5 linked regions of the Macaca mulatta genome follow. The main gene of each other region encodes a partner of the protein of the gene in region 4 in a complex. Links are inferred from orthologs where the notes say so. Each region holds a gene or a part of one and is shown on either strand. Other genes may lie near its edges.

Region 1 (5,440 bases), on a different chromosome or scaffold from region 4:
GTATGTGCACAGCAAGTTTTCTAGGATACCTAAGATATAGCTGCCTGATTAGCTTTGGATAAGGGACCTCATAACGGATGCAGAGTGTGGTAGAGACTATTGTTGTTCATACATAAGTTTCTGTGTGAACTTTTAGTCATTTGCCTATATTCTTTTTTTTTTAAGTTATGATAGTTTTCAAAACACTGTGATGTCTGGTTTGGTTTGGTTGGCTAGGAAAAGTAATTTATATAAATTTGTCTTCGTAATTTTTGCATGAGGTATCCATATTTCCAAAATGAAAAATAGTAAATAATGATTTTTTTTTTTTTTTTTTTTTTTGAGACAGGGTCTCACTCTGTTGCCCAGGCTAGAGGGCAGTACTGTGATTTTGGCTCATTGCACCCTCCGCTTCCCAGGCTCAGGCAGTCCTCCTGGGTCAGCCTTCCGAGTAACTGGAAGTACAGACGTGAGGCACTATGCCTGGTTAATTTTCTGCATTTTTTGTAAAGACAGGGTTTTACCATATTGCCAGTGATCTGTCCACCTCATCCTCCCAAAGTGTTGGGATTACAGGTGTGAGCCACCATACCCAGCCTCCAGGGATATTTTTAAAATTATGAATAAGTTTGCATGAAATCTTACAAAGAAATTTAAATCAAATAATATATATTTAACTCCTAAAAAGAATTCGTTGAAAAAAAATAAATTACTTTATAATACTTAGTAGTTCTATGCTAAGCACTTACATGAATTATTTATGTAATTGTTATGGTAATTCTATGAGGTGCCTATATTATTGCTGTCTCTATTTTGTAAATAAGGTAACAGACTCAGAGAGCTGAAGTAACTGCTCAAAGGCTACAAGTAATAAGTGGTAGAGCCAGTATTCATGCTTATCTAATTTTGGAGTCTCCGTTTCTAACCTTACCACATTATTTAAAAATATATATATATAGCAGAGTAGATTCTTCTGTGAAATGTAATTCAGCTCTGAATTGTTGATTTCTTTGATCCAATAATACCTTATGAAAAGACATGAAGTTATATTTTTACTTCCCAATGGAAGACACCATTTTTAGTCATTATAAGATGTATTTATGAGAAGAAATCTGAGTATTACATGTGTAGAGGATTTGGGGGTAAAAGCACTATTAAAGTACCCACAATTTTAAAAATTCTAGCTTTTTCCAATCTAGAGCCTGTTAGAAGTACTGTGCTACATTGCTTCATTAAGTACAATGAGTAAAATAACAACCTAATTATTGTTGGCTACGAATCTGGCATAAAAGACCCTTATAAATCATATTTTAGTATTAAACTTGACATAATAAGAATGGTAGTTAATATTTACTAGTCATTTACTTTGTTTTGAGTACTGCGTTGGATTACCTTATTCCTTTCAACAGTCCTATGAAGCTAGTACTATTGTTTTTGTTTTATAGCCTATTAAGCTCATTAACTTAATGTTTTATAGCCTATTAACTTAAGGGGGTTATATAACTGCCTAGGACTTCACAGTAGTGATGAAAGTGGATTATGAGCCCTTACTCCAAGTTGTTTTTACCACTCATACATTTAATATAGATGAAGTGGTATTTGAAACAAAAAGTGAATCATGAAACTTCTTTTTAGTCAGTTTTCTTTATGGGTATATGTTCTTTTATTTCCTTTAGGTTCACAATATTCTTGCAGAAATGGTGATGGGGGGAATGGTATTGGAGACAAACATGAATGAGATTGTTACACAAATTGATGCACAAAATAAGCTGGAAAAATCTGAGGTAAGAATGGAAAATGCTATAGTTAAGAAAGGTTCTAAGCATGATGACAGATTACGCATGATTTGTAGCTTTCACTGTTTGTCCTTCAGTATCACCCTTTAGGTTCAGCCGTTATGCTTATTCAGTTTTTAAAAAATTGAATATACACATATTAGTATGCTAAAGGTTCTGTGACTATTATCTGCCAAACAGCTTTGTGTATTCTTCTTTTAGCCACAGTCATAGCTGCCTTGGGTAATAAGCACAATTCCAAATCTTATTGCTTAAAAGAATTATCTGAATAATGGAATCTAATATTTGCTTTGTAAAACGTCAGTAATTATCAAGGAAGTCTTAGAACTAATATTTTAAAGATATATAAATTTTGTGTTACAAAACTACATCTGGAAAGGGCAGGGACAGGAAATGGAATTCTTATAAGGAAGTAAGTAATGTTTCAAATTATAAATAAATGCCTAGCATGTTTGAGTTCACATTCAAAAAAGAAATTCAATACTTTAATCTTTTAATTCTAGATCTTTCCCTAAGATTTCACTGACAAGTTAGTTAAGTCACATATTTTAGACATTGGTACATATATATCCGTGGTTTTTATTGCATTCTATAGGATTGGTTTGTTATACTTAGCTAACTTTCTGCTGTTAGATTCAACCTTAGATTGGATAAATGAGGAACAACCAGCACTTTAGCATTGTATAAAAACCCTACTTCAGAATTTTAGTGACTCTTCTCTCAAGCACTAGTCTGAATATCAGTAGCAGGTGCTGTAGCTGAGCCGCCCGGGTTCACATTATTTGGGTTGTTTATTACCCTAGCAGAGGTTTAGAAAGAGCAATAGTTTTATCACTTGAGGTCAGGAGTTCGAGACTGGCCTGGCCAACATGGTGAAACCCTGTCTCTACAAAAAAAAAAAAAAAATTAGCTGGGCAGGTAGAGCGCACCTGTAATCCCAGCTACTCAGGAGGCTGAGGCACAAGAATCACTTGAACCCTGGAGATGGAGGTTGCAGTAAGCCAAGATCACGTCGCTGCACTCCTGGGCAACAGAGTGAAACTTCATCTCAAAAAAAAAAAAAAAAGAAAGCCGGGCGCGGTGGCTCAAGCCTGTAATCCCAGCACTTTGGGAGGCTGAGACGGGCGGATCACAAGGTCAGGAGATCGAGACCATCCTGGCTAACACGGTGAAACCCCGTCTCTACTAAAAAATACAAAAAAAAGCTAGCCGGGCGAGGTGGCGGGCGCCTGTAGTCCCAGCTACTCGGGAGGCTGAGGCAGGAGAATGGCGTGAACCTGGGAGGCGGAGCTTGCAGTGAGCTGAGATCCGGCCACTGCACTCCAGCCCGGGTGACAGAGCGAGACTCCATCTCAAAAAAAAAAAAAAAAAAAAAGATCAATAATTTTTTGATATCTCATTCACCACCCAGCTGGTTTGAGGATACTCTTAAATTTGGTATTTGCAGTCATAACTCAGATTGGAAAAAACAAACTTTATTTATAATTATTAGTGTTAAGCTCAGATGTTCTGTTGATTTAAAGTAAATATTACTATGAAAACATCAAGGTATTAAAAATACACTGGCATTAATTTACAACAGGTGAGTTCTGAAAAATTTATCTTGTTGGCATTTTAAAGGATCAGTTTAACTCAATTCTGTGCCCATTTTAATTGAAGAAAACGCAGAATGAAGAATAAATTTGAAATCTAGAAACAGTTGAAGCTTTCTTATAAAAACATTTTCCAATGTTCTCTTTTAAATAAAATAGTATTGCATTTTTATCTCAATTTCCCATTCCTGTTGGTTTCCCAAAGGAGAAGTTTATAATGGTGATTTAGAGCTAAGATTCTCTTAAGTAACTATACATTTTGTTTGTCCTATAGCCAATTTTTAAAATATTGGCTTTTGAAAGTGGAAAACATAAATTAGGTTAATAGAGAAAATTTTGTTTTGGGACAAGGAAAAAGACTCATAATTTAATTTAGTATAACTGACTTGCAATATATTATTTAGTAAGGAAAAGGTTACTGTAAACCCTGAGCTATTGCTTTTAAAGTTTTAAAAGAACTTAAAATATGTGTCATTTGTTAAACATTGCTTTGCAAAACTGTATGGTTATAGATTTTAAATGCCAAGGGACAAACAGTTATGCAATCCTTTAATAACTGGTATAATGAATGAGTATCTAGTAATTTGTGAATTCTGTATAATCATCTATAAAAAGTATGACCAGTTGTCTGGAATTTTCACCTTTCCAGGTACTTAACTCCTTTCCATTGGTGGTGGTCCTTCTTTTTCTTCTGCTACTTAACACATTTATGCCTAGTGTTCCGTTATTGGAATGCTAAGCTTGTGGGAGTTATTTGTATCCTACTGTTCAGGGTCATCCCCAAGGTCTGATTTTTCACAAAAAAAAGTTTGCAACCTCTGACATAAATGGGTTAATGTGCTATATTGACGAAAGTCATGAAGGACCTATAATTATTGCATAATGGGTATTTGCTTTTTGATTGTTGAATAAAACTTCGTTAATGAGGCAATTTTTCTTATCTATAAAGAGCAGTAAAATGTAATTTACATTTCAATGGAAATAGTTATAAGAATACTATAACTTAAAATCCATTCACAGAAATAATGCTATTTAAAATAGTTTAGAATACTGGTGATTACTTCTATTTTTCATTCCCTGATCATCTTGCATCATACATAATTGTTAGCTCGTACCAAATTAGTTTCTCTTTTTTTGTCTTTTACAAGAAAGTATGTTTTAAGTTTGATTGGAGATAAACCACAAAATTATATATTTTCTATACATGTAATGTCTGCTAATATTTTAGTTATGAAATCGGATTTCAAATCAAAGTGAGGCCATTTAGTCCTGATCATCTTTTTAAAACAGCACTGAAAAGTATGATGACTAATTTTTCAGTAGCTTTCATATATTTTAAGTATGTTTGAACGACGTCTAGCTTTATTCCAGAAACATTGAAATGTCAAAAGCTTTCATATGTTTCATGTCCATGTTACTTCAATTGGTTAAATTTATCAGAGATATTATTCTGCAGAATAATCCAAAATTACTTGAAAGCAAAGTATAAACTTTTACTAATCTTCTTACTAAATTTCAGTTAAAATTTATTATATAAGCATAAACTTAAAAGACTTGTTTGGCTGGGCGCAGTGGCTCACACCTGTAATCTCAGCACTTTTGGGAGGCCAAAGCAAGCAGATCACCTGAGGTCAGGAGTTTGAGACCAGCCTGGCAAACATGGTGAAACCCCGTCTCTACTAAAAATACAAAAAAAAAAATTATCCGGGCATGGTGGTACTTGCCTGTAATCCCAGTCGCTCTGGAGCCTGAGACACAAGAATCGCCCGAATCTGGAAGGCGGAGGTTGCCGTGAGCCAAGATTGCACCGATGCACTCCAGCCTGGGTGACAGAGTAAGACTCCATCTCAAAAACAAACACAAAAAAAGACTCTTTTAAAATCAAGAATGTCATGATTGATGAAAAGAACTGGTTATCAATATTTTACATCATTTAACTAATATTTTAGGAACATCATTTATCTTTAAAAATCATTCTGGGTATAATTAAAACACAGCTTTTGAAACATAACATGCATTTATCTAGGGGCCTTTGTCAGAAATCAAAGCTTTTATTATGTTGGTCTAAAGTTA
Region 2 (6,168 bases), on a different chromosome or scaffold from region 4:
AATATCACCATAAAATTTTAATACCACAGAATATTCTCTGTTTATGTAATGTATTTGTGCTCTATACATAAAAAGAGTATATATATTTTTTTCACCTCACAAGAAGCGGTTTTTATCTGCTTTGAGATTGCATGATTTAACACACAGAGGACATTGGTGATCTTGGTAAAAGTGGTTTTGGTGGGCTAGGTGTGGTGGCTCACACCTGTAATCCCAGCACTTTGGGAGGCTGAGGCGGGTGGATCACGAGGTCAGGAGTTCAAGACCAGCCTGGCCAACATGGCGAAACCCTGTCTCTACTAAAAATACAAAAGTTAGCTGGGTGTGGTGGCAGGCACCTGTAATCCCAGCTACTCGGGGGGCTGAGGCAGAAGAATCACTTGAACTCAGGAGGTGGAGGTTGCAGTGAGCTGAGATTATGTCACTGCACTCCAGCCTGGGTGACAAGAGCAAGACTCTGTCTCAAAAAAAAAAAAAAAAAAAAAAGTAGTTTTGGTGGTAGTTCAGTGGAATGCTAGAAATAAGTGGGCTGGGAAATAAACAGCAAGAGGTGTAAAAAAAAATAGAGATATGTAGAGTAGATTCAAGAAGTCTAGCTGTGAAGAGGATAAAAAGATAGGAAAATAAATGCAGCAGTTCATAAAGTGAAGGAAGAATACATTTAAATGCTAAAGGAAAGGTGTGAATAGAGGAGAAAAAGCTGACACAGGAGAGAGGGAAAAACGGAAAGAGGACCCTGACACAGCAGGATAGCATGCTACTGGGAGACTAGGTGAAAGAGTTTGCCTTCTCTAAGGAGAAGGAACACTTTCTACTCTTCAGATTGAAGGGAAGGTTTGTATACTTGACTGCAGGCAGATGATGGTTCTCCTTCTCTGTGTAATGGGAGAGAGGTCATTTCCAAAGGGAGGGAGAAATCCTCTTCTCTGTAAATACCATGTGCTACTCGTGAATTGACATAGTACTGAGCTACTTAAAAATATTTAGCCTGCAAAGAACTCCAATAGAGTATGTGTATATGTATTTTTTTAAGAGTTAGGGTCTCACTTTGCTGCCCAGGCTGAAGTGCAGTGGACCAATCATAGCTCACTATTACTTTGAACTCCTGGGCTCAAGTGATCCTTCTGCCTCATTCTGCCTCCGCCTCCTGAGTAGTCAGGACTACAACCATGCGCCACTAAGCCTGGCTAATGTTTAAATTTTTTGTAGAGATGGAGTCTCGCTATGTTGCCCAGGCTGATCTCCAACTCCTGGCCTCAAGTGATTTTCCCGCCTCACCCACCCAAAGTGCTAGGATTACAGGTGTAAGCTACTGCACTCTGTCTGCCAACAGTATATTGTTGGTTTTTTTTGTTTGTTTGTTTGTTGTTTTGAGATGGAGTCTCACTCTGTTGCCAGGCTGGAGTGCAGTGGCACGATCTCAGCTTACCACAACCTCCGCCTGCCGGGTTCAAGCGATTCTCCTGCCTCAGCCTCCCGAGTAGCTGGGACTACAGGCACATGCCACCACGCCCATATAATTTTTGTATTTTTAGTAGTGACAGGGTTTCTCCATGTTTGCCAGGATGGTCTCAATCTCTTGACCTCGTGATCCACCTGCCTCAGCCTCCCAAAGTGCTGGGATTATAGGCATGAGCCATACTGTGCCTGGCCATATATTATATTAAATGGTTAGAAATAAAAATCATAAGATTAAGAAAACCTAATCTTGTTGCAAAGAGAGCTTTCCTAAAGATACGTCAGGTCTTTTTTTTTTTTTTCCGAGGCAGAGTCTCACTCTGTCGCTCAGGGTAGAGTGCAGTGGTGAGGTCTCAGCTTACTGCAACTTCCGCCTCCCGGGTTCAAGGGATTCTCCTGCCTCAGCCTCCCAAGTAGCTGGGACTACAGGCGCGTGCCACCACATCTGGCTAATTTTTGTATTTTTTGTAGAGACAGGGTTTCACTATGTTGGCCAGGCTGGTCTCGAACTCCTGACATCGTGATCTGCCCGCCTCAGCCTCCCAAAGTGCTGAGATTACAGGCGCCTGGCCAAGATACGTAAGTTTAACATAATTCTTTTCTCTTATAGTGTCAATAGAAACTGTCACTCTGCCTTTCCCAAATTAATCCTTTCACTTGTAACTTGATCCCATTCCTTTCCTTCTCTTCTGGGAGGTAAGACTTTTTCTTGAATCTTCAAATAGTTGCTTGTTTCCTGCCCCCAAATAGATATCTTGTATTCTTTAAAACAAACCCCAAACTTTCCCCCACCTTGCCACTCTCAATAATCTTGCTTCATGCACCAAATGATGAAGGATTAGTCTCCACTTGCAGTCTTTCCTCAGTTACTATTAAAGCATCTCTCTCAAATAGCTCAATGACTTTCTAATTATAAAATCCAACGACCTATTCTGATTTCAGCTTCCTCCTCTGGCCATTGCAGCATTTTATGTCATTGATAACTTTCTCCTAAACAAAAATACTTCTTACCCTTTTATATGAAACTTCATCTGCTTTGGGTTTCACCTTGAAAGTCTTTCGGGCTTAATTCTCACAATTTTTTTTTAAAAGTCTTTCTACAATCTCCATGTAAACCACTTTCAAATTCGGTAAAACTCAAACTCCGTAAAATTCCTCCTCCTGTCAGTGACACCATCTTCTTAATCACATAAGGCTGTAAGCTTCGGGTTCAAATTTACCAAATACCAACAGCCACATCGCCCGTCACTTTTCCATACTCACTGCCACCTGCTCAGCTTAGAACCCCGTTACCTCTCTCCTGAAGAACTGCAATACCCTTCTCACTGCATTCCTCACCCCAGGCTCTTCCAGGCACCACCCATTAACAGGACGTCCGCTCAGGTCCTTTTGGGGTTTTGTCCTCCAGAGCAGAAACCTGGGACTGAGATTCCTGCCGTCTGTACAGAGGGGGGACCCAGGAAGCTCGACCTCCGGGGCTCAGGCGCCTGAGAACACTAGGCTGCAGGTGGACCGCTCCCTTCCGGCCTTGCTGGCGAGAAAGCCCGGAAGGCCGGGAGTGGGGGGAAGCCAGGCCCTGGCCCACGGCACCAAAGACGCTCCTAGAGCCCAGATCGGAGTCGGGGGCCCCAGCTATTCAGCCTACTCCCGGGTTTTGGAGCTGTCCCCAATCCACATATTTCCCGCCCCTCACACTCACCCCGACACCTGTGCCAGTCAGTGATTCGGCGCCGGGTCCTCTCCAGACCGAAGCTGAGGAAGCTGAGAAGGCCGCGAGGACCCGCAGCCGGAGTGCCCAGGAGATTGCCTGATTAACAGCTTCAAAGACACCGACTATGTCTACCATATTAGAAAGATTAAATATGCCGGAAGACCGTAAATGAGAGGAAAGACGTCTGTTGAGGTTTAGTATCTAAATATTCTACATCATCCAGGACCTAGAAAAATGGTAGGTTTCTCACCATCTAGATTCAGGCGGTTATCCGCGGCCTAACTCAGTCTGGGGTCCCATATGGCGGGGGAGGCGGGGTCAGGAATGGGCGGGGCATTCGCTGTCGGTGGTGAGGAATAGAGCCAATGATTGTGGATGACAGCGGCACAGAATGGGCGGAGTCTGGAGGGGCGGGATTTGGAGGAGAGAAGGCGGTGATGCGAAGAGGTGGGGGGGGGGTCAGAGAGTATATGGCAGAGGTGGGCTGTAGAACCAAAGTAGGGTGGGAGCGCAAAGATGGCAGCTGCTGAGGAGGAGCCGAAGCCCAAAAAGCTGAAGGTGGAGGCGCCGCAAGCGCTGAGGTGAGCGCTGCCCGACTTGGGGAGGAGGGTGACAGCGCCTGCTGCAAGCAAGCCCGGGCCCACGTGGGGTTTCGCGGCTCCGGCGCTGGGTGGTGTCTCTCATTGCCCGCTTGGGGCCAACACGCAAGACCTGCCGCGCGGGGAGCTGTCTGTCTGGCCGCGACCCCTTGCCGGACGTTCTCTCAGTTTGGCCGAGTCGCCGCCGGTCTGGTGTAGCTCCGGCTCCAGCAGCCCTTGGCCAATCGTGGCCGGCGGAGGGGGGGCGAGCCGGCTGCCTGCGCCACCTGCGAGCAAGCCCAGGCTGGGCTGGTGCGACCCCGGAGGGCCGGACCGGAGCTGCGTCTTTACGCGGCTGCCTTCTCTTCCTGGGGGATGGCGGGGAGGAGGCTCGGCAACTGCTCTACTCTGGGGCGAAGTCAGAATTTTTGGGGATTTTTCGGAAAGTGTTGCGGAAGGCCACGTTGACCTGCCTTTTCGTACACATTCTGAAAGCCTGCACCTTTGAGGACCCTCTACCAGTGACCCAGACCCCTCCGAGGCTTTGCAGGGGCAGCATTTGGATGAATGGCTGGGAAAAGTTGATTTTTCTTTTTTATTTGCACTTTTTGGCAGCAACGGAGACAGTGCTGCCCCTAACACCTGCCTCACATGTGATTGATGTTGCAACTTTTACTTACAGAGTCATTTGTTAAAATATCCCTTCCTAATAAGTGTAAAGTGAAGCAGGCAGTCTTTGATGATTTGGAAATGTTCGTTGAAAGGCAGTGATTTTTTTTTTCCATCTTAAAATAGGCATATCAAACTGATTGAAAAGTATTGGGACACTCCTGATTATACAAGACGTATCCCATTTCTTCCTGTATCACTTTTCTTCACCTCCAAAAGAAGGAATCACAATTGAAAAGAAAAGAACACTTAGGGGCCTGGTGGCGTGTTCATCTGCTTTGGAGGGTGAACAAATCCATGCCAGTGCCTTTAATGTATTCCTACTACCCTCAAAGGGTTAGCGTGTCTACCTCATACCAAGAACATAAACTTTAAAATAAAAACTCTCTGGATATTCTATTTTTATTTTAAATATTCAAGCTATATGCAGAATAAAGAGCAAGGGCTTTTGAATCAGACCTACCTGAGTTAAAGGCATGTGCTTTCCCTACTCTGCCCTTTATTAGAGTATTTCCTTTATAAGGCACCTCCTTCGCCAAACTGGAAGACAGATGCAACTTTTCCCTACCATCCTACTAAACATACAACCCTTAGATTTCCTTAGATTTTTCCTTAATAAAAATAATTATATATAATGCTGATCCATTTTCACTGTGTTTTCCTATTATCTTGTTGGACAGTTCTGTGATCAAAGGAAGGCAAGAATTATGCCTATTTTACAATTGAAGATATTGAAGTCCAAATAAAACAATTAGTACAGGGACAGAAATAAGAACTAGCTGAGCATCCTTTCTTTTTTTTTTTTTTTGAGACGGAGTCTTGCTCTGTCACCCAGGCTGGAGTGCAGTGGCCAGATCTCAGCTCACTGCAAGCTCCGCCTCCCGGGTTTACGCCATTCTCCTGCCTCAGCCTCCCGAGTAGCTGGGACTACAGGCGCCCGCCACCGCGCCCGGCTAGTTTTTTGTATTTTTAGTAGAGACGGGGTTTCACCGTATTAGCCAGGATGGTCTCGATCTCCTGACCTCGTGATCCGCCCGCCTCGGCCTCCCAAAGTGCTGGGATTACAGGCTTGAGCCACCGCGCCCGGCTGAGCATCCTTTCTTATACCTGCAGTCCTGGTGCTTTGTGAGGCTGGGGTGAGAGCATTCCTTAGGCAACCAAAATTCACTTTATACAATATGAACTTAATGCCATCTGTAGACATGAAGTTAAAAGCTTAGACATTCGAGTACTGGGACAAATCTCTAATTTTGTCGGGAGACATTTTAGGATTGGCTATTATTACTTTTATTATATTAGTTTGACTTTCAGACTCAAAGTGTGAGAATGCATTGAGTATTTACACTGAATTAATTTATGATGACTTGCTTGACAGGGGATTGCTACTAGTTTTGGTTAAGGAGAATGGGTTATAAAGACTAAGCATAATTTAATGTTCAGCATCAGTGGGAACAGATAATGAGATATATTTGTAGATGTCAGGGAAAATATTTAGGAGATTTAGGGATTTCTGAGAATTTGGTCAGCTCTGGGACAGTAGTTCTCCACCAGGGGAAATTTTGCCCTCCAGGGGACATTTGGCATGGTCTAGAAAGGTATTTTTGGTAGGGAGAGCTATTGGCACCTAGTGGATGGAATTCAGGGATGCCGCTAAACATCCTATGTAGGACAACCCCCACAACAAAGAATTATCTGGCCAAATATGTCAACGGTGTTGAGGTTGAGAAATCTGTTCTAGAGGGAGCATCTGAC
Region 3 (6,111 bases), on a different chromosome or scaffold from region 4:
ATTTGCAGACAGGGTCTCACTCTGCCACCCAGGCTGGAGTGCAGTGGCAGAGTCCTAGGTCACTGTAACCTTGAACTTCTGGGCCCAAGCGATCCTCCCACCTCAGCCTCCCAAGTAGCTGGAACTACAGGTGTGTGTCACCATACCTGGCTATCTTTGTAAAATTTTTGTAGAGATGGGGTCTCATCATGTTGCCCAGGCTGGGGAAGGTACATTTCTTAACCCTAGGGCTGTGTATACAGAAATCCATTTTATTACTTTTTAAACTGTGCATGTATCTGACATACACTCTTTCCTGTCTGCATTTTTTCACATTTAAAATAAAATATTTTAAAGGGGCCAGGCACGGGGGCTCACACCTGTAATCCCAGCACTTTGGGAGGCCAAGGCGGGTGGATCACCTGAGATCAGGAGTTCGAGACCAGCCATGGCCAACATGGTGAAACCCTGTCTCCACTAAAAATACAAAAATTAGTTGGGCGTAGGGGCAGGCGCCTGCAATCCCAGCTACTTGGGAGGCTGAGGCAGCAGAATTGCTTGAACCCAGGAGGCGGAGATTGCAGTGAGCCAAGATTGTGTCACTGCACTCCAGTATGGGCGACAGAGCAAGATTCCATCTCAAAAAAAGAAAAAAAAAAATAGAGTATTTTAAAGGAAGGGGAAGCAGGCTCTGGTTCCCACACAATCCCCACTCAGTGACACTGGAGCCACCCCTGGCCATGCTCTGCCATCAGAGAACCAAAGCCAGGTCCCTTCAGCCCTAAAGTGGCCATAACCACATGTATCCCCCATGAAATGTCCGAGCATGGTCCAGTTCTGGCTGAGCGGGAGAGGCAGCACAATCAGAAGGCTCCACAGGCATCCACACCCCTCCCTGGGGCTTTCCAAGAGTATCTGAGATGCCTGTAGGGTGGGAGGGAGACATCCTTCCCCTAAACAGACAACCTGCCGCAGCTTCACAGAGGTGAGATTTCAGAGGGGAGCCCCAGGCAGAAAAAGGGACTGAATTTGGGGGCAGGAGGGTCACCACTTCTGGGGTCCTTCGAAGCCCCCGCAGGTGCAGCCCTGGGGGAGAACTCCGACTATCGCAGCCTGCAGTGGCAGTGAGGATGCCCTGCCCAAGGGGCAAGCAAGGTAGGTGATGGCGGCAGCAAAGGGGCGCAGGAGGCCTGGGCCAGGCCCAGTGACCCCACCCCTCAGGCCCTGCCCCCGGGCCTCCCCCTGGACAAATCAGGTTGATTCCCGACCTCCAGAATACCCAGAGAACTGTGCTGCACGGACGCTCTCCCACAAGCCCAATCCCTCACAGCTGCACAAGGGAAGAGGCAAGAAGACCTGAGGGTGGTGGGCAGAGCCAGGCCTCTGTTCCCTTCTGACCAATCCAGGAGGGCTTCCTGGGAGCGGGGTCTCCTCCGCCTCAACTGGATCTCAGCTGAAAGGCCAGCTCATTAGAGACCGCTGTGACCTCCCTTCTGGGCACCACCCCCACAGCCCCGGCCTCCCCCCGGGGTCCCCAGGCCACCTCCTCCTTTGCTTCATCTGTAGCCAACTCCCCGGCATGAGCCCAGGCATGAGCCCGCGCGAGTCACTGCGGCCGCCGGGGCGCCGAGGCCAGTGCGGGGACATAGCAGGCCTCCCTCCTTCGGACCTTCCGCCGAGGCCCCGCGAGTGCCACAGGTTTCCACAGGGCCGGGGCACACGGACCCGCGCAGCCTGGGAGCCAGGGACCCCAATCCCAGCGAAGGGGCGCCTCGCACCCCAGTCCTCACGCGGTCCCCGAGGGCTCGCGGTGACTGCCGGGTCGGGGAGGAGGAGGGTGGCAACCCGGCCCCGCCGCTCCAGTTGCTGCAGCAGCCCCCCGGGCCTCAGTCTCCGAATCTGCCAAACGGGCGTGTGGCAGCCACAAGGTGTCTTTTCGGAAGACTCACAGGCGCAGGCGCAGACGGGTGCGCACCCCTAAGGCGCGCGCGAGCTAGGACCTCGGCCCGGGGCTGGGTGTCCCCGGCCCCGCCCCCTGCAGCCCTTCTGGAGCCAGCGCGCCTGCGTCGCGGGCGCACGGGGGGCGGAGCTCCCGGCGTCTCCGCCTCTTACCCGACGTTCCCCGCGCCCGCAGGCGCTGACGTGGCCGCCGTCAGAGCCGCCATCTTGTGGGAGCGAAACCAACGCCTGGCTCGAAGCAGCAGCTTCTGAGGTGAGGGCGAGGGGCGCGGGTCGGTGTGGGCCGCACACAAGTTGGAGCCGGCGGGGTCTGGGGACTGGCCTCGGGGCGACTTGAGGTTCGCGAAGGGCACCTCGATCCCGGCGGCGGCGGCGGCGACAGGGCCGGGCCGGGGGCGGACGAGGACGGGCCGGGCTGAGGCTGGGGAGTCGGGGCTGGGAGGGCGGGCGGGTCGGTGAGCTCCTCGCGCCCCTCACAGGTTCCCGGAGTCGCCCGCGGCCCCTTGTCCTCCTCTGCCAGTCCCTGCCCCCGCCCGTCGCCCGGAAGTCAGCCGGGACGCCAGGCTCTTCTCCAGGAAACCTGGGCTTCCTGCTTCCCTCACCTCTGCCCCTCACGTTTCCCGAGGCCGCCCGCGCGTGGAGGGTTGGGGTTAGCGGTCTCGGGGGCCGGTGGGGGTTGTGGGGCCTCCTCCACCCGAGTACAGGCTAGCGAGCGGCATCCGGGCGGACCGCTGCCTCGGGGACCGGGAAACTGAGGCTCAGGCGGCCCCAAGACACCGTCAAGGTCACGTAGGTGGTGGGGGCTTGCACCTTCGCCTCCCGACTCCATCCAGTTCGTGTTTCTTCTGAGGAAGGCACTGGGTCAGGGGCGGTGAGAGCGAGCGGGCGGGCAGTGGACAGGGACCCTGCGCCTTTCCCTGTCTGCTGAACGGAATGCGTGGACCTCCGGGGAAGCCCAGAGTGCCTCCCTTCACAACAGTGAGACGCGATTTGGGGTCAGTATGAAGTCTCCGGTGGCTTCCAGAGGGCCGGTCGATGTTCGCTTTAACTCCAGGGTGGTTTCCTTGACGTTGTCGGCAGTAGATAAGAAGGCCTCTTTTGAGCTGGTGAATCTTTAACTTGCCTGCGGAACGACCTGCTCGTAGACTCTAGGCCGCAGAGGCCGGCCCCAGCGCTCTCTCGGGGCACAGCCTGGGTGGTTACGGCTTGTGAGATTGGGTCTGTACAGCCGTGCGCACCTAGAGTGTTAGATAACCATTCCGACGGCACTTCCTGGCGGACTCCCTTTCCGTCCAGGCAGCCAGTTGCTGCTTTGCAGGAATTGAGCAGAAATGCGCTCGGAATCGCGGGCAGAAAAAGAAGGGAGGTCGGAGTCTTTGGATGGTCCCCGAAGTCGCCGCCTAGTTTAGAGCTGTAGAGTTGGTGCCACTGCCCCTATTGGAGTGGGCAGTTGTATTTCTTGTTTCAGAACTAGTGGTCAGCAGTTTTCTCTGCCGCCGGTTGTTGCAAGGCTGGTGGTTCTGGCGTTTTCCGCAGTGTGTTGGGAGGAGTGTGAGATGCCGAGGTGCGGTTGTGTGCGGCCCCTGTGGCCCTCTGCTTTTGCGTTAGCCATTGTCTAACACGTGTGACTGCATGGATGATGTCCTCATTTAATTTGAATTTTCACCAGCACTACCAAGGTAGCCAGAACCATAAGGTCCTGAAATGCCGTACTATTAGCTGGGTCCAAAATTGAGAAGAATTGAGTAGTATAAATGTTAGTATACACATCTGATTGGCCACATTGTTAGAGGTGTGTTGTCCACGTTTTCACATGTTGGTAGACCGGAGAATATCTGTCACTTGTCTTTAGGTGTATCTTGTTGAAAATAAATCCAAATCATTGCAGCAGTAGGAATATGCTGTTGCCTGTCAGGCAGTTTTTCAGATTTGCTAGTTGAAAAAGATTTGAAACAGTTGGTTTGGACAACAGCTGAGTCACAGAATGACTGTGAGTGAAAAGCAAAAACTGGTTCTGTGCCCCTCACAGTTCTGATTTTGTACATCATGTAGTCTAGCTATGCGCTGTACCTCTTGCACAATATGGAGAGGACATTCAGACATCTTCACCTGCTCATCTGCCCCTACAGACTGGACAGGCTTGAAACTATAGCTTCGAAGATGCATTTGGCCTTTCATTTTTCACTTCAGTAAAATTTAATATGGACTGTCAGCTGCTGCAGTGATCATAGAAGTAGACCTAACTAAGAGAAAAAAACCTGTTGTGCAAGTTCACACGCAAAGTATATGACTGTGGTTTCAGAGAGTTGAAGCAGTTTTTTCTAGATTCTTCAAATTAAATGTCTCATTGGTGTATTTAAACCAGCTCTTACTCACAGGCCATGCTCACCAAGCTTTTGTACACACTTCTTCCTGAGCTGTGACCATTCTCTTGAGCAAGAGGCTGCAGCCAGCCTGGGCTGGCAGGCCCATACTGTCTCTCATAGGCATTCTGTCCTCTCCCCCTGACCTTTCACCTCGGTAAACTCAAGAGGGTGAAAGGAAGTAGAGTGCACTGTCAGAGGTAATTGGGAGAGAAACAGGAAAAGGCCTTGCAGTGGGGATCTTAAATTATGAGAACTTGTGTTTTCTGTGTTGTGCCTGCTCCTCATTGGTGTGGTTGGTTGGTAGGGGTATCCTGCCTGTAGCATCTGAAGTGGTCTTTTGGAAAAGGTTTAGCCCCTTCATGTTGGGATTCCAGGATTTGCCTTCATCCTCAGGTTCGTATTTTCCTGTGGTTGTTATAAACTCTTTAAGGCATAGTTGCACTTATCACCTTACAGCTGTGCAGGTGCCCAGCACCGTCTTGGAAGGTAGTTTCACATTCTCAGGTGGGTCAGATGACCTTGTTAGCAACTTGACAGACATGTCCTGGATGTTTTTTGTTCCCAAGAGGCTCTCAGGTCCTCCCCCAGGGTCCTGTCACTCAACCATCTACAGGGATGAGAAGACAGTAAGGCTGGCTGATTAGCCATAATGTCCTTGACTAATCCTGGTTTCCTGGTTCTCACACAGTGGTAACAAGGGCTTGCAGCCGGTTGTCAGCCAACAGACTGGGAAAGGTGGTGCTTCTTACAGGCCCTGATAACAGGAAAAGCCTAAATGACATCAAGAGAAGAGACAGGGAAAGCATAAAAGGCAGATTTTCACAGGCACAGCAATTGAGAATGATTCTGTTTAGAAGGCAGACGTTCTCCCACACCCCGGAGGCCCAGGGCTCACTGTTAGTGTACAGCATGAAGTGAACGGGAGACTTGATTCAGTCCATGAACATTTCAGGAAGTTAGAAGTCTGTAGTTGTGGATTGCAAAATACATATCTGGCCTGCCTCCCATTTCCTGCCATACAACTACTAAAATACTTGGAATCTCCAAAGTGATGATGTCTTTTTGTACCCTAATGAGTTGACCAGTGACGGGCAGCCCCTACGAAACTTCAGGGTAGGGCTAGTCACGGGGCCAAGGTAGGATTAGAGGGTTTCAGCCCCACCCTCCAATTTCCCCAGAGTGGAGAGGGACTGAAGATTGAGCTGGTCACCAGTAGCCAATAATTTAATCAATCACACTAATATCATGAAGCCACACTTTTGCCTTCAGTAGTTAACAGCATCTACAGCCCCGTGTTTCCACATTTGTACAAAGGAATGTTCAGACTGAACCACACTTAAGTACAATTCTGAAATAGCATGAAATTCCTTGTTGATGGGAAATACCCAAAAGGCCTGCCTGGGCTTTCAGAGAGCTTCCAGAAAGCTGAATTCATGGAGGTTCCTGGAGGGTGGCACGCCCAGGAGGGCAAGGTAGCTCCGTGTCTCTTCCCTCATACCCCACCCTATGCATCTCTCCATCTGTATCCTTTGTAATATCCTTTATGAAAAACCAGTAAACTTTAGTGTTTTTCTGAGTTCTGTGAGCCACTCTAGCAAATTAATTGAACCCAAGGGGAAGGAGTTATGGGAACCCTGATTTATAGATGGTTGTCCAGAAGCACAGGTAAAATAACCTGGAGCTTGTGATTGCCTCCAGGTGGACAGTGTCAGGATTGAACTGAATTAAAGGACACCTATCCGGTGTCTGCTGCAGAACGCAGAACTGGTTGCTTACTTGGCATGTGTGGAGAAACCCCTGCTCATGT
Region 4 (5,440 bases):
AGAAGGGGTTGTTGGCCTGCTCCTGCTTCCGGGCCTCTCGGCGCTGCGGGACACGACTTGGCATGAGCTCAAGCGAGCGGGCAGGATACCTCTCTATGGACGTCCACTACCAGCCACCCAACCAGGGAAGGCTGGATCTTTGGCTATTTTCACTACTGAGCTTTTACTAATAGGGAAACCAAGGCCCGCAATTGGGAAGAGCGCATATTGGAGAAAAGGAATCGCTAACCCTCTGGGACGCAGGGACACACATGCCTCCACTGCCAGGGTCAGGACCAGGACCCACGGAGGCCGCTGACCTGCCTGGGCTACCCGGCTACTGATGAGCAGCTCAGACGGGCTGGGGCTGCTGAGCTCGGGACAGGGCCTCCTGATTGCCAGGGCTGCCTGAAAGCACGGCCTGGAGGATGCAGGAGCACAAAGGCCCGCACGCAGCCCACCATGGGCATTCCCTCTGTCGGTGTAGGATGAAAGGAGAGGACTGCTGGAGGGGCTCCCCTCTCTGCACAGGTGAGCAGGGCGAGGTGGAGCCCCACACGGGGCACAGGGGCTGCATCTGCCTCGGGAGGATGGGGTCCAGGGGCCTCCTTCACCTTCCCCAGCTTCTGGTCTGGGTGGGCTGCACGTGTCTGCAGTGTCTTACAGCAGCTATGGCAGGGTCAGGGAAGGGCCCCACACAGGCACCCACACGCCCCCAGCTGCAGGTCGGGTTAATGGAGTTCTCCTCAGGGGGGCTCCTGGATCTAGAGAAGCTGTCCCCCATGTCTTTTTTTTTTTTGAAATGGAGTCTTACTCTGTCACCCAGGCTGCAGGAGTACAATGGCATGATCTCACTGCAACCTTTGCCTCCCGGGTTCAAGCAATTCTTTTTTTTTTTTTTTTTTGAGACGGAGTCTCGCTCTGTCGCCCAGGCGGGAGTGCAGTGGCCAGATCTCAGCTCACTGAAAGCTCCGCCTCCCAGGTTTACACCATTCTCCTGCCTCAGCCTCCCGAGTAGTTGGGACTACAGGCGCCCGCCACCTTGCCTGGCTAATTTTTTTGTATTTTTTAGTAGAGACGGGGTTTCACCGTGCTAGCCAGGATGGTCTCGATCTCCTGACCTCGTGATCCGCCCGTCTCGGCCTCCCAAAGTGCTGGGATTACAGGCTTGAGCCACTGCGCCCGGCCGGTTCAAGCAATTCTATTGCCTCAGTCTCCTGAGTAGCTGGGATTACAGGTGCCCGCCACCGCACCCAGCTAATTTTTGTATTTTATTTTATTTTTTTTGAGATGGAGTCTCACTCTGTCGCCCAGGCTGGAGTGCAGTGGCGCGATCTCAGCTCACTGCAAGCTCTGCCTCCCGAGTTCATGCAATTCTCCTACCTCAGCCTCCCCAGTAGCTGGGGCTACAGGTACCCGCCACCACGCCCGGCTAATTTTTTGTATTTTTTGTAGAGACGGGGTTTCACTGAAACCAGGATGGTCTCGATCTCCTGACCTTGTGATTCGCCCGCCTCAGCCTCCCAAAGTGCTGGGATTACAGGCGTGAGCCACTGCACCCAGCCAATTTTTGTATTTTTCGTAGACACAGGGCTTCACTATGTTGGCCAGGATGGTCTTGATCTCTTGACCTCATGATATGCCCACCTTGGCCTCCCAAAGTGCTGGGATTACAGGCATGAGGCACCGCGCCTGACCAAGATGCTCCCCATTTCAGTGAAGCTCAATGAAACTCAACCATAACATGAAATACCCACTTGGGGCGTCCTGGAGGGCGGCGGTGCACAATCTTGAGCCAACAGAACCAAGCACCGGACTCAGGAGCCTCAAAGACTCCCTGGGACAGGAGGGAGGAGGCGAAGGCCCACCAGGGGCACCCAACGGCTCACCCGAGCCAGCTCTTCCTCGTCTGCCTCGGACGGCCGGTGCTTGGGGCGCCGCTGCTCTTCCTCGTGGAAGACGGCCCTGGGCCTCTCGTCCTCTGACTCGCTGTCCGAGAGTGGCTCGTTGATCCAGGCGTCTAGGTCCAGGCTGTGCCGGACAGGAGGGTCACACAAGGCAGTGTGTGTGACCGAGCACGCGCCTGCAGGCGCCCACCCTGAGCAGGCTCACCACGTGCCTGGCCATGTGAGACCCCAAACAGTGGTGCCTGCTACCCACACAGGGCCAGCGAGGCAGGTGTCACTGCCCCTTAGAGAGGATGCAGAGACCCAGGAAGGCTACAGCAGGGTCACAGTGGGGCCCTCACGGCAGGTTCAGGCTGCCTCAGAGCTTGAAGGCAAGGGTGGAGCAGGCCCACCTCCCAGGGAGCATCCCCAGGTTCCAGCCAGGTCCCAGAAGCAGAGAGAGCCCCGGTGAGTCCAGCGAGGGGCGCCCGCCCCAGGCCTCCAATCAGCCCCACACCCTCCTGGCTGTTGAGGGCTGCAGTAGCCCCCTCTGTGCCTCCAGGCATCAGGCGACCACGTCAAGGCTGTGGTTGCAATGCCCCCACCCCCGTATCCTTACCCTTCAGGGACTGGAACCTTCTTCTGGGCCTTGGGGGCCACTGGGTTCAGCTCCCCAGCAAAGAGAGTGCTGACCTCCTCCGCCACGGGCACGTCCTTGGCCTGAAGCTTCTGGATATGCTTGACCAGCTGCAGGATGCAGGACGCCTGCGGGGGACGCAGGAGTCACCGCTGGCACCTGCCCGGAAGGCCATTTGGCCACCCTCAGGGACACTGGGTGGCTAAGCCCCTGGCACAGTGACGTGCGGGCCCTCTGGCACAGCCAGGTACCCACAGAGAGCCCAGCCTTCATGCCATCTCCATTGTCATCCTTGACAAGCAGCGGCGGAAAAGACCAGTCCACAAACAGAACAGAGATGGGGGCACAACAGGGAGCTTTGCCCACTGCAGAAATGCCTCCCATAAGGCCTGTGCCCCGACACCAGAAGCACCACCTTGTTCGGCCCCTGCGGGCTCCCTGCCTCTGTGCTGGCTGCAACTCAGACACAGCCAGGCTGGGCAGCTCCAAGAGTGACCATGGGCCAAGGATCATGGCCAGCCCCCAGATAATGCCACTGCTCAGAGAAGCCCGGGGCCACACCCCATGCAGCCTTGACGCTGGGTCTCCTCAGCCACTGGATGGGCTGATGCCGCTCCCGATCTCTCTCACAGATGACCAGACGCAATGTTTCACATCTGTAATCCTTGCACTTTGGGAGGCTGAGGTGGGAGGATCATCTGAGGTCAGGAGTTTGACCTGGCCAACAAGGTGAAACTCCGTCTTTAATAAAAATACAAAAATTAGCCGGGTGTGGTGGTGGGTGCCTGCAATCCCAGCTACTTGCGAGGCTGAGGCAGGAGAACCCCTTGAACCCAGGGGGCGGAGGTTGTCGTGAGCCGAGATCACATCACTTCACTCCAGCCTGGGCAAAGGAGGGAAATTCCATCTCAAACAAAACAAAACAACAAACAGAAAAACAGAGACCTGGGAACTGGTGGGCACCAGCTGGCACAGGTGTACAGTCTGCTCAACCCAGAACCCACGTCACCTGCAGGGCACCAGAAAGAGCCACAGCCAGCCCCAGGCTCTCACACCTGCTGTCTCGCCGCATGTGAAACAGGCTCTTCCTATGGCCAGGAGCAGCACCCCCACATACCCAGCACCCCAGAGACCTGCCCAGTCCCACTGACCTAAAGGTCCCACTGACTAACCCCAAACCCCAGCTGGCACAAGTGGCAACAAAGGAATCTCAGTGAGTGGCTTCAGAAGAGGAAGGGAGGCCCCGTCAACCTGGCCGCCGCTGGACAGAAAGGCACTGAGGGCTCCCTGAGGCTTGGCCCAACGCTGAGTGCAGCCTTACCCGCTCCTGCACCTCCAGGTCTGCGCTCTGCACAAACTGGGGCAGCCGGTCCACCATGAGTTGGGTGACGGCCTGGGCGCCCTCTGCCTCCCCGGCCTGCTCCTTCTGCTGCAGGATGTTGGCGTACAGCTTGACCACGTTCTGCACATACACGGCCTGGATGTGGCCTGGCAGCGTGGTGACTTTGGGCCGTAGCATGGCCTCCAGAGTGTGGTGCGGTTCCTGCAGATGCCTGAGGACAGGAAACGCCGTGAGTCCCCAGGATGCCCGCCCCAGGGCTCCTCTCCAACAGGTGAGGACCTGGGAGGCCTGGGCTTGTCACAAACGAGGTGACTCTGGGCCTTTCCCATTCCCTGAGCTGTCTCCGGGGGCTGAGACACGAAGTAGAAGAAACCAGGGGCCATCCATAGCCCATAACACGAACAAGACAGAGATGTGGAGATGACAGAGCCACTGAGCGGAGGACAGGTCAGAAGAGGAAAAAGGACAATGGGGTCGACTGTGCAGTTGGCCCTGGGAAGATGAGCAGGACGGGCAGGGAGGAGACGGAGCCGGGAGACCCTGATCTGTGGGACACTGGGGCCTGGGGGTGTGCCTCACTCACATCTGACACAATGTCTTGGGACTTGGATATGTTTCTAGTCCACTTTTCTCCCACCAAGAAAATAATAGAAGTGGCCGGGCACTCACCTATAATCCCAGCAGTGTGGGAGGCCAAGGCAGGCAGATCATGAGGTCAGGAGTTTGAGACCAGCCTGGCCAACATGGTGAAAGACTACTTCCACTAAAAATACAAAAAATGAGGCCAGGTGCAGTGGCTCACGCCTGTAATCCCAGCACTTTGGGAGGCCAAGGCAGGCAGATCACAAGGTCAGGAGATCGAGACCATCCTGGCTAACGCGGTTAAATCCCGTCTCTATTAAAACTACAAAAAATTGGGAGGGATTGCATTGGGAGTTATACCTGATGTAAATGACGAGTTGATGGGTGCTGACAAGTTGATGGGTGCAGCACACCAACATGGCACAAGCATACATATGTAACAAACCTGCATGTTATGCACATGTATCCTAGAACTTAAAGTATAATAATAAAAAAAAAAAATACAAAAAATTAGCCAGGCGTGTTGGCGGTCGCCTGTAGTCCCAGCTACTCGGGAGGCTGAGGCAGGTGAATGGTGTGAATCCGGGAGGCGGAGCTTGCAGTGAGCCGAGATAGCGCCACTGTACTCCAGCCTGGGCGACAGACAGAGCAAGACTCTATCTCAGAAATAAGAGATCGAGATCAGCCTGGCCAACATGGTGAAACCCCGTCTCTAATGAAAATACAAAAAAATTAGCCGGCCTTGGTGGCAGGTGCCTGGGATCCCAGCTACTCGGGAGGCTGAGGCAGGAGAATTGCTTGAACCCGGGAGGCAGACGTTACAGTGAGCTGAGATTGCGCCACTGTACTCCAGCCGGGGCAAAGCTTGGGAGACAGCAAGACTCTGTCTCGGGGTGAGGGGAAGAAAAGAAAATGACAGAAGCGCTCGTCTCCGGGATGCAGGCTGGCTGGGGACCCTTTTGGCATCCCAGCTCAGGGCGCCCTCCTGAGCTGGCACAGGCCCAGGGTGAGAAG
Region 5 (6,099 bases), on a different chromosome or scaffold from region 4:
TAGATTGTACACACATTAAATTTCCTGAATCCATCAACACTGTAAGTTGTGTAAGAGACTATCTTTGTTCTTAAAAGTTACACATTGAGATTTTAAGTTTAAAAGAACATGATGTAGGGGCCGGGCGTGGTGGCTCACACCTGTAATCCCAGCACTTTGGGAGGCCGAGGCGGGCAGATCACAAGGTCAGCAGATTGAGACCATCCTGGTTAACACGGTGAAACCCCGTCTCTTCTGAAAATACAAAAAATTAGCCGGGCGTGGTGGCGGGCGCCTGTAGTCCCAGCTACCTGGGAGGCTGAGGCAGGAGAATGGCGTGAACCCAGGAGGCGGAGCTTGCAGTGAGCCGAGATTGCACCACTGCACTCCAGCCTGGGGGACAGAGCGAGACTCGTCTCAAAAAAAAAAAAGAACATGATGTGTACAACCGAGTCTCCTATGGTTCAGAAGACACATAACATGAATACGTATATGTGCCTGAATATGCATGGGGAGAGTGAGTGACAGAGACAGTAGGCAAGCAATGTAGCAATTTTTTTAATTGGTAAATCTGCAAAAGGGTTGCTCTCAGTGCTATTGTTGCAACTTTTTTGTAAACTTGAAACTATTTCATCAGAGTAAACCATTAAAAACCAGAGCTGAGGAAACAGGGTGAGCTTCAAGTTTTTTACATAAATTATGTCATTCGATTTTTTTAAAAGGCAAGTAATATTACAGTTTTATAAATGAGAAAATGTGGACTCAAGAGAGATTTAATGACCATTTCCAGAACAGGGGTCTCCTTGTTTCTGTACAATTCCATTAGATTGCAGGTCAACAGCCAAATGTTTCTAATCCCTGGAAGCTTCTCTGGTGGTACTACTTAGAGCTATTTAAAGTTTTAAAGCTTTCGTGAGTTGTATGCGCTCACTAATAAAAATACCATACATTTCATCAAGTAGTAAGTAGACATCGAAACTTTTGAGAGAATGGGCTCTAATATTAGAGCCTCTGAGTTCAAATTCAGGCAGTTCAATGTTCTAGCTTTGCGGCCTTTCCCAAGTTAACGATCACGCTCCAATTTCCTCACGTGTAAAGTGGGAGCAGCTGGTAATAACCTGCAGGGTTGTTAAGAAAACTGAATGAGATAATAAATGTAAAGTGGTGCCACAAACACTCAATAAATATCTTTTGGGGAACACAATTCAACCATGGTTATTTGCATATATTACATACCACCTCTAATCAATTAGCTACTTTTATTTTAAATCCAACCTATTAGGTCACCTCAAGAGCACTGGTCACAGAGTCAATGGCCATAAGTTTTTTGGGTTTTTTTTTCCAAATCAGGTCAAAATTTGACAAAAATCTTTTTCCTTTTTTTTTTCTTTTTTTGAGACGGAGTCTCACTCTGTCACCCACTAAAGTTAGAGTGCTGTGGCGCGATCTCGGCTCACTGCAGCTTCCACCTCCCAGGTTCAAGCGATTCTCCTGCCTCAGCCTCCAGCTGGGATTACAAGCACGAGGCACCACGCCCGGCTAATTTTTGTATTTTTAGTAGAGACGCGGTTTCACCATGTTGGCCAGGCTGGTATCGAACTCCTGGCCTCAAGTGATCCGCCCGCCTTGGCCTCCCAAAGTGCTGAGATTACAGCCGAGAGCTGCCGTGCCTGGCCCCAAATCTGACAAAAATATAAGAGAAAAGCCGGAAAGAGGAGAGTAGCCGAAACAAGCAAAGTGATCGCGATGGGTTTAGGAAGGCGATCTGGCGTGCTAAATGGCGTTTCCGGAGAAATCCGAAAACTATTGCTTTACAGAAGTATACTAAAGAGCTGCCCTGGGTCTGGAAACCCCTTAAGGGATCAAAATGGATGCAATGGGTATCCTTCTCCAATGACACCCCTCACGGGGTGTTCACAAACCATAAAAGTAAATTAATTTGCAAAACAGATTGATGCCAATTTACAGGTTAATTCAGTCTAAACATTTTGCTTACAGTAAAGGCAACAAGCTCCGTACTTGCTCTAGAACAATGGATCACCAAATGCATATAATGAAAAATTATATGAAATGAAAATGAAAAGTTACCTTACTTTTAAACTTTTCTAACCTGGGAAAAAGGAAACGAAAATATTGTATCGTACGTACTATCTATATGATTTTGATCCTCAATACAGCCAAAATGTAATCCCAATTTCAAGTAGTAGCACTTTCTAGACTACCCAATATTGTTAGTAACGTTTAATTTAAATTTTAATTATACCCTCTAACATATCTGCAAAGCTACCAGCACAGCTATTCTACCTTAATTTAGCATGAATTTAGCGACAGACTATTATGTGACCATATTGCTTAGTAATGAAAGATTTAAAATAAGAGAAACGTAAAAATGATAATTGTGGTAAATTTAACCACTACCACCACCCCAATACCACCATCCCACCCCCCAAACAAACAACTTGGGATTTCTTTCCATTTCTCGGTGATACTTTTTACAAAACTAAGTGTATCTTAACATTCGTTTTTAAACTTCACATTATTAATTTGTAAAAGTTTAGGATTTGTTCATAGTAACACTCTTAAAATATTTTCTATTCATATGCTTATTTTGGATTGGTGTTTTTGTCTGTAGTGCAAAGGATATAATCCAAGAACACTGATACTGGTATAAACCAATTTGTCCATTCAAACAGCCTAAACCCACCTCTCTCCTCCTACACTCCGGGGTCACAAAATAACTTCCCACAAGCAACACTCGCACTCTCACCTTGACCAAAACACTCGTTTCACCCTAATCAGGGAATGTATCAAAGTCTGATCCGGCGAACGATAAATAAACTTAGAAGACTATGCTCAAAATTCAGATTCCCGAGCCCAGACCAAGTCCAATTCAATCAGTGTCTTCAGGGGTGGGATCTAAGCTCACCAAGCGGTTTCCTTTTCACTAAAGTTTGAAAACTACTAGAGACCCCTACACACACACGCCCCAAACTCCCCCAACTCCCACCACCGCCAACCAACCCCACCCACCCACCCGTGGGACACGTTACCGCCCAGGTCTGCTCAGATCTCAGGGCGACCCCGCTCCACTCCAGGGAGCCCACCCGGCGCCCACTCCTCCGAGTCCCCAGCTCCTCCCTCCCATCCCCGTACCCCAAACCTTTCTCCTCACTTCTTCAAATCGCTGCTAAAGAGGCCGAAGGCCCCCGAGGGGGAAATGGTTGAGGTCGCCTCCTGACCCAGCTCCGTCGCCTCCCCTCCTCCGGACTGCTCATTGTAAGAAAAACTGTTGCTGGACATTGCCGCGGTGCTGGCGGGTGCGGGGTTGGTCCTGCCGGGGGTTCTCTCCGAAAGGTTCCAGTCCAGAGGGCACCGAACAAAACTAGTTCGCGTACCGAGGAGCGCGCGCAGGCGCTTCCGGACTCGTCACCGCTCCCTGAGCCGACCTAGCAGTCCACCCCCTGCGCATGCGCAGTGTGCGGGAAGGCAGGATACCACCCGGGCCGTCCAGGCCTGCGCGGATTTCCCTGCTCCGGGCTTTAGAGGTAGCTGAGCGGCTGCGAGCCTGGCTGCGGAAAGGGAGGCAGCGGGTGGCGAACTGCCAGGCTCCCGGCCCGTGAGGGGTGTCATTGGAGAAGGATACCCATTGCATCCATTTTGATCCCTTAAGGGGTTTCCAGACCCAGGGCAGCTCTTTAGTATACTTTTGTAAAGCAGTAGTTTTCGGATTTCTCCGGAAACGCCATTTAGCACGCCAGATCACCTTTCCTAAACCCATCGCGATCACTTTGCTTGTTTCGGCTACTCTCCTCTTTCCGGCTTTGCCTTACTTTCATATCCACCCGAAACAACTTTTCTCCCAGACTTTAAGGAGGCCTCTCCCAACGATGGTTTGGAGGAGCCGCACAGAAGCGACCATTCCATCCTTGCAACGAAAATCTTGGAGGCAGACCGGCGCGGTGGCTCACGCCAGTAGGGCACTTCGGGAAGCCGAGGCGGGCGGATCACTTGAGGCCAAGAGTTCGAGACCAGCCTTGGCAACATAGCGAGACCCTGTCTCTGCAAAAAATATAAAAATTAGCCGGCGTGGTGGCTCGCGCCTGTGGTCCCAGCTACTGAGCCTGAGGTGGGAGGTTCACTCAAACCCAGGAGGAGGGGGTAGCGATGAGTTGAGATCGCGCCTTTGCACTCCAGCCTGGGCGACAGAGCGAGACCCTGTCTCAAAAAAATTAAAAAGAACAGAAAACATCTTGGGACCACCAGTTCCAGTTTAGAGCTGAAGTGGTGCGTCCTACTGGCGTCTAGCTACCAAAAATAAAATGGACCACCTTGCGCGCCAGGCGCAGCTGTCATCTGACACTTCTGTGTCCTGTCGCCGTCGTGTCACTCACTAATATGCACTAGGGAGCCTAGGCGGGATGCTTGCCTGGCCCCGGAGTAGCTCTCTCCGGGTGCTGGCACCCGAGAAAACCTCTTTCCAGGAGTGACTTCCCCCAGCCCGCCTTCTCGGTTGGGTTTCAGAGCCTTCCCTCTCTTCTCTCCAGTGCCTCCCGTCCAGGTAGGCGTTAACTCCCAAAGCCTTGGCGGCCAGGTACTGAAACTGTCAAGGGATTCTACCAGGTAGAACGCGAACGTGGAGACCGGCAGCCTCTGGGAAGGCGGTGGGGCGTTTTCAAGGATCAAAGTATGATCTCCAAGTTTCAAAAGGTCAGACTGTCACTGTGGAAGCACGCACGAGCGTGGCTCTGGGTGGGAGAAGAAGGAATGTCCTCCAAACTTCATCGTCTGGTTAAATATTGGCAGGTTTTTAATTCGACTGTTAGAATACTGCTCCGGAGATCCAATGATGATCACCTAAAATGTGTTTGTCAATATTAATGATGTTAATTAATAACATTTCATCTACAACTGACTATTGATAATGAAGATGGGGATGATCATAGATAACTATATATTATTATATAATCCTTAATATATACCACAAACTATTCTAAGTAATTTTATATATATTAATAGTAAAAAGAGTTAGGCTTTGGTTACTTTATTTGTAAAAGGAGAACATTGATATACACATAGCCTGGAAAATACCTGACACATACCTGATTATAGAATTTCTTGGTTTTAGAGTTTGTGCACTTTTACCAGATATCCTAAATTTTTTGCCAGCATAATTTTAGCAGTGTGTAATCTTCTTTCTTCACATTCTCACAAACGTTTAGCTTTCTAAAAATGTTTTATTGTCATCAATATGATATGAAGGAATATTATTTGTATGGTAATTAATTTTCATTTTCATGGTCATAATGAACTTGAGAATATTTTATGTGGTTACTCCATTTGCATTTTATTTCCTGGGAATTGCATATGAACCTATTTATCCACTTTTACACTGAGTAGTTTTTCTGATGGACTTGAAGAGTTCTTTGTCCTTGAGTCTGTTATTTTTAATTAACTGCTTGATTTTACTTTGTAATATTTTTATTTTTTCACACAGACTCAGGTAGGAGACTGACCTACAATATTGGGGTTTTGGGTTTTGGGGGTTTGTTTTTTGGGGTTTTGTTTTGTTTTTACATTGTCCTTGAATGGTGTGGATATTAAGAATATCTATTCTTCAAAAAACAGGTATAGGTAACTTTTTCTCTGGAATATTACGTATAAGATACAGAGCATATATTCCTGGATGAAATAGATAAAACTTTCTTTTTATCACTAAAAAAAAAAAAAAAAAAAAAAATGAGAGCATTGACAAGAAGGGACTTGAGGCCCTTACTGCCTTAAAATTCTAAGACTGTATATTCTTACAGAAAGATAAAAAATAATAACTCCATGGGCTGTGGTCTAGCATTCCCATATCTCTAGAATTGAAAAATCTTTTATATAGCCATGAAGCTTTCTGACAGAGGAAAAAAATCACACTTCCAACCAGAAGAAACATTAACAGAACTAGAAGATTACTCTCTGACACCTGTTACCAAGCCAAACCAGATTTTCTGTTTCCTTCCAGCATATGTAGTGTCTTGTATTACTGCCAAATAAGTTGGATATTTTTTTTCAAAAACTATTTTCCCCCTAATACTTAACAAAACCTTTATCAAATTTTCTGTTTCCGTTTCTGTT

The links.
Region 1: the proteins of AP3D1 (region 4) and AP3S1 are in contact, whole or in part, in a cryo-EM structure (PDB 9C5C), measured with the Homo sapiens proteins. The link is inferred for Macaca mulatta from reciprocal best matches to the Homo sapiens genes AP3D1 and AP3S1. Residues at the interface, in NP_003929.4 of Homo sapiens: Leu18, Gln19, Val22, Arg26, Cys60, Thr63, Tyr64, Gln66, Met67, Leu68, Gly69, Tyr70, Asp71, Ile72, Ser73, Lys87, Phe88, Thr89, Arg92, Ile93, Leu96, Gln100, His103, Tyr126, Leu132, Thr133, Ser136, Tyr161, Lys164, Lys165; in NP_001275.1 of Homo sapiens: Met1, Lys13, Pro14, Arg15, Leu16, Ser17, Lys18, Phe19, Pro22, Tyr23, Glu25, Asp26, Gln28, Gln29, Arg42, Asp43, Glu44, Asn45, Val46, Cys47, Asn48, Phe49, Ser80, Glu81, Ser82, Glu83, Leu84, Gly85, Leu87, Asp88.
Region 2: the proteins of AP3D1 (region 4) and AP3M1 are in contact, whole or in part, in a cryo-EM structure (PDB 9C5C), measured with the Homo sapiens proteins. The link is inferred for Macaca mulatta from reciprocal best matches to the Homo sapiens genes AP3D1 and AP3M1. Residues at the interface, in NP_003929.4 of Homo sapiens: Lys29, Glu388, Gly389, Thr390, Thr391, Arg393, Glu429, Arg432; in NP_001307192.1 of Homo sapiens: Ser25, Ser27, Asp30, Tyr31, Glu34, Pro52, Asp104.
Region 3: the proteins of AP3D1 (region 4) and ARF1 are in contact, whole or in part, in a cryo-EM structure (PDB 9C5B), measured with the Homo sapiens proteins. The link is inferred for Macaca mulatta from reciprocal best matches to the Homo sapiens genes AP3D1 and ARF1. Residues at the interface, in NP_003929.4 of Homo sapiens: Lys48, Asp50, Phe77, Ile80, Glu81, Ser84, Asp107, Met110, Leu111, Thr112, Thr113, Asn114, Gln115, Arg117, Lys118; in NP_001019397.1 of Homo sapiens: Tyr35, Ile46, Pro47, Thr48, Ile49, Gly50, Phe51, Asn52, Val53, Glu54, Trp66, Lys73, Ile74, Leu77, His80, Tyr81, Gln83, Asn84.
Region 5: the proteins of AP3D1 (region 4) and AP3B1 are in contact, whole or in part, in a cryo-EM structure (PDB 9C5C), measured with the Homo sapiens proteins. The link is inferred for Macaca mulatta from reciprocal best matches to the Homo sapiens genes AP3D1 and AP3B1. Residues at the interface, in NP_003929.4 of Homo sapiens: Lys352, Leu442, Ile446, Ser471, Tyr483, Trp487, Glu491, His517, Ala520, Val521, Gln524, Asn525, Lys528, Val561, Gln562, Ser563, Ala564, Leu566, Glu567, Gln569, Glu570, Arg571, Ser573, Cys574, Gln577, Leu578, His581, Ile582, Leu585, Lys588; in NP_003655.3 of Homo sapiens: Asn75, Lys466, Lys467, Gln470, Val494, Ala497, Ser498, Trp501, Leu531, Leu534, Gln535, Asn538, Lys542, Asn567, Tyr568, Asp569, Asp572, Arg573, Arg575, Phe576, Ile577, Gln579, Leu580, Lys586, Gly588, Ala589, Leu590, Ser591, Tyr593, Lys596.

What each region holds. Positions count from the first base shown.
Region 1 is NC_133411.1:124,871,924-124,877,363, forward strand, and holds part of AP3S1 (AP-3 complex subunit sigma-1), read left to right. Parts: intron 1-1,655; coding exon 1,656-1,763; intron 1,764-5,440. UniProt on the Homo sapiens protein: Part of the AP-3 complex, an adaptor-related complex which is not clathrin-associated. The complex is associated with the Golgi region as well as more peripheral structures.
Region 2 is NC_133414.1:75,470,821-75,476,988, reverse strand, and holds the start of AP3M1 (AP-3 complex subunit mu-1), read right to left. Parts: upstream 3,521-6,168; 5' UTR 3,423-3,520; coding exon 3,420-3,422; intron 3,255-3,419; exon of another isoform or gene 2,797-3,254; intron 1-2,796. Other genes in the region: ADK (adenosine kinase), read left to right, coding at 3,686-3,750. UniProt on the Homo sapiens protein: Part of the AP-3 complex, an adaptor-related complex which is not clathrin-associated. The complex is associated with the Golgi region as well as more peripheral structures.
Region 3 is NC_133406.1:85,833,910-85,840,020, forward strand, and holds the start of ARF1 (ADP-ribosylation factor 1), read left to right. Parts: upstream 1-2,150; 5' UTR 2,151-2,191; exon of another isoform or gene 2,192-2,276; intron 2,277-2,352; exon of another isoform or gene 2,353-2,871; coding exon of another isoform or gene 2,872-2,933; intron 2,934-6,111. UniProt on the Homo sapiens protein: Small GTPase involved in protein trafficking between different compartments. Modulates vesicle budding and uncoating within the Golgi complex. In its GTP-bound form, triggers the recruitment of coatomer proteins to the Golgi membrane.
Region 4 is NC_133424.1:2,850,323-2,855,762, forward strand, and holds part of AP3D1 (AP-3 complex subunit delta-1), read right to left. Parts: intron 4,056-5,440; coding exon 3,824-4,055; intron 2,631-3,823; coding exon 2,485-2,630; intron 2,011-2,484; coding exon 1,869-2,010; intron 44-1,868; coding exon 1-43. UniProt on the Homo sapiens protein: Part of the AP-3 complex, an adaptor-related complex which is not clathrin-associated. The complex is associated with the Golgi region as well as more peripheral structures.
Region 5 is NC_133411.1:84,651,975-84,658,073, forward strand, and holds the start of AP3B1 (AP-3 complex subunit beta-1), read right to left. Parts: upstream 3,399-6,099; 5' UTR 3,280-3,398; coding exon 3,152-3,279; intron 1-3,151. UniProt on the Homo sapiens protein: Subunit of non-clathrin- and clathrin-associated adaptor protein complex 3 (AP-3) that plays a role in protein sorting in the late-Golgi/trans-Golgi network (TGN) and/or endosomes.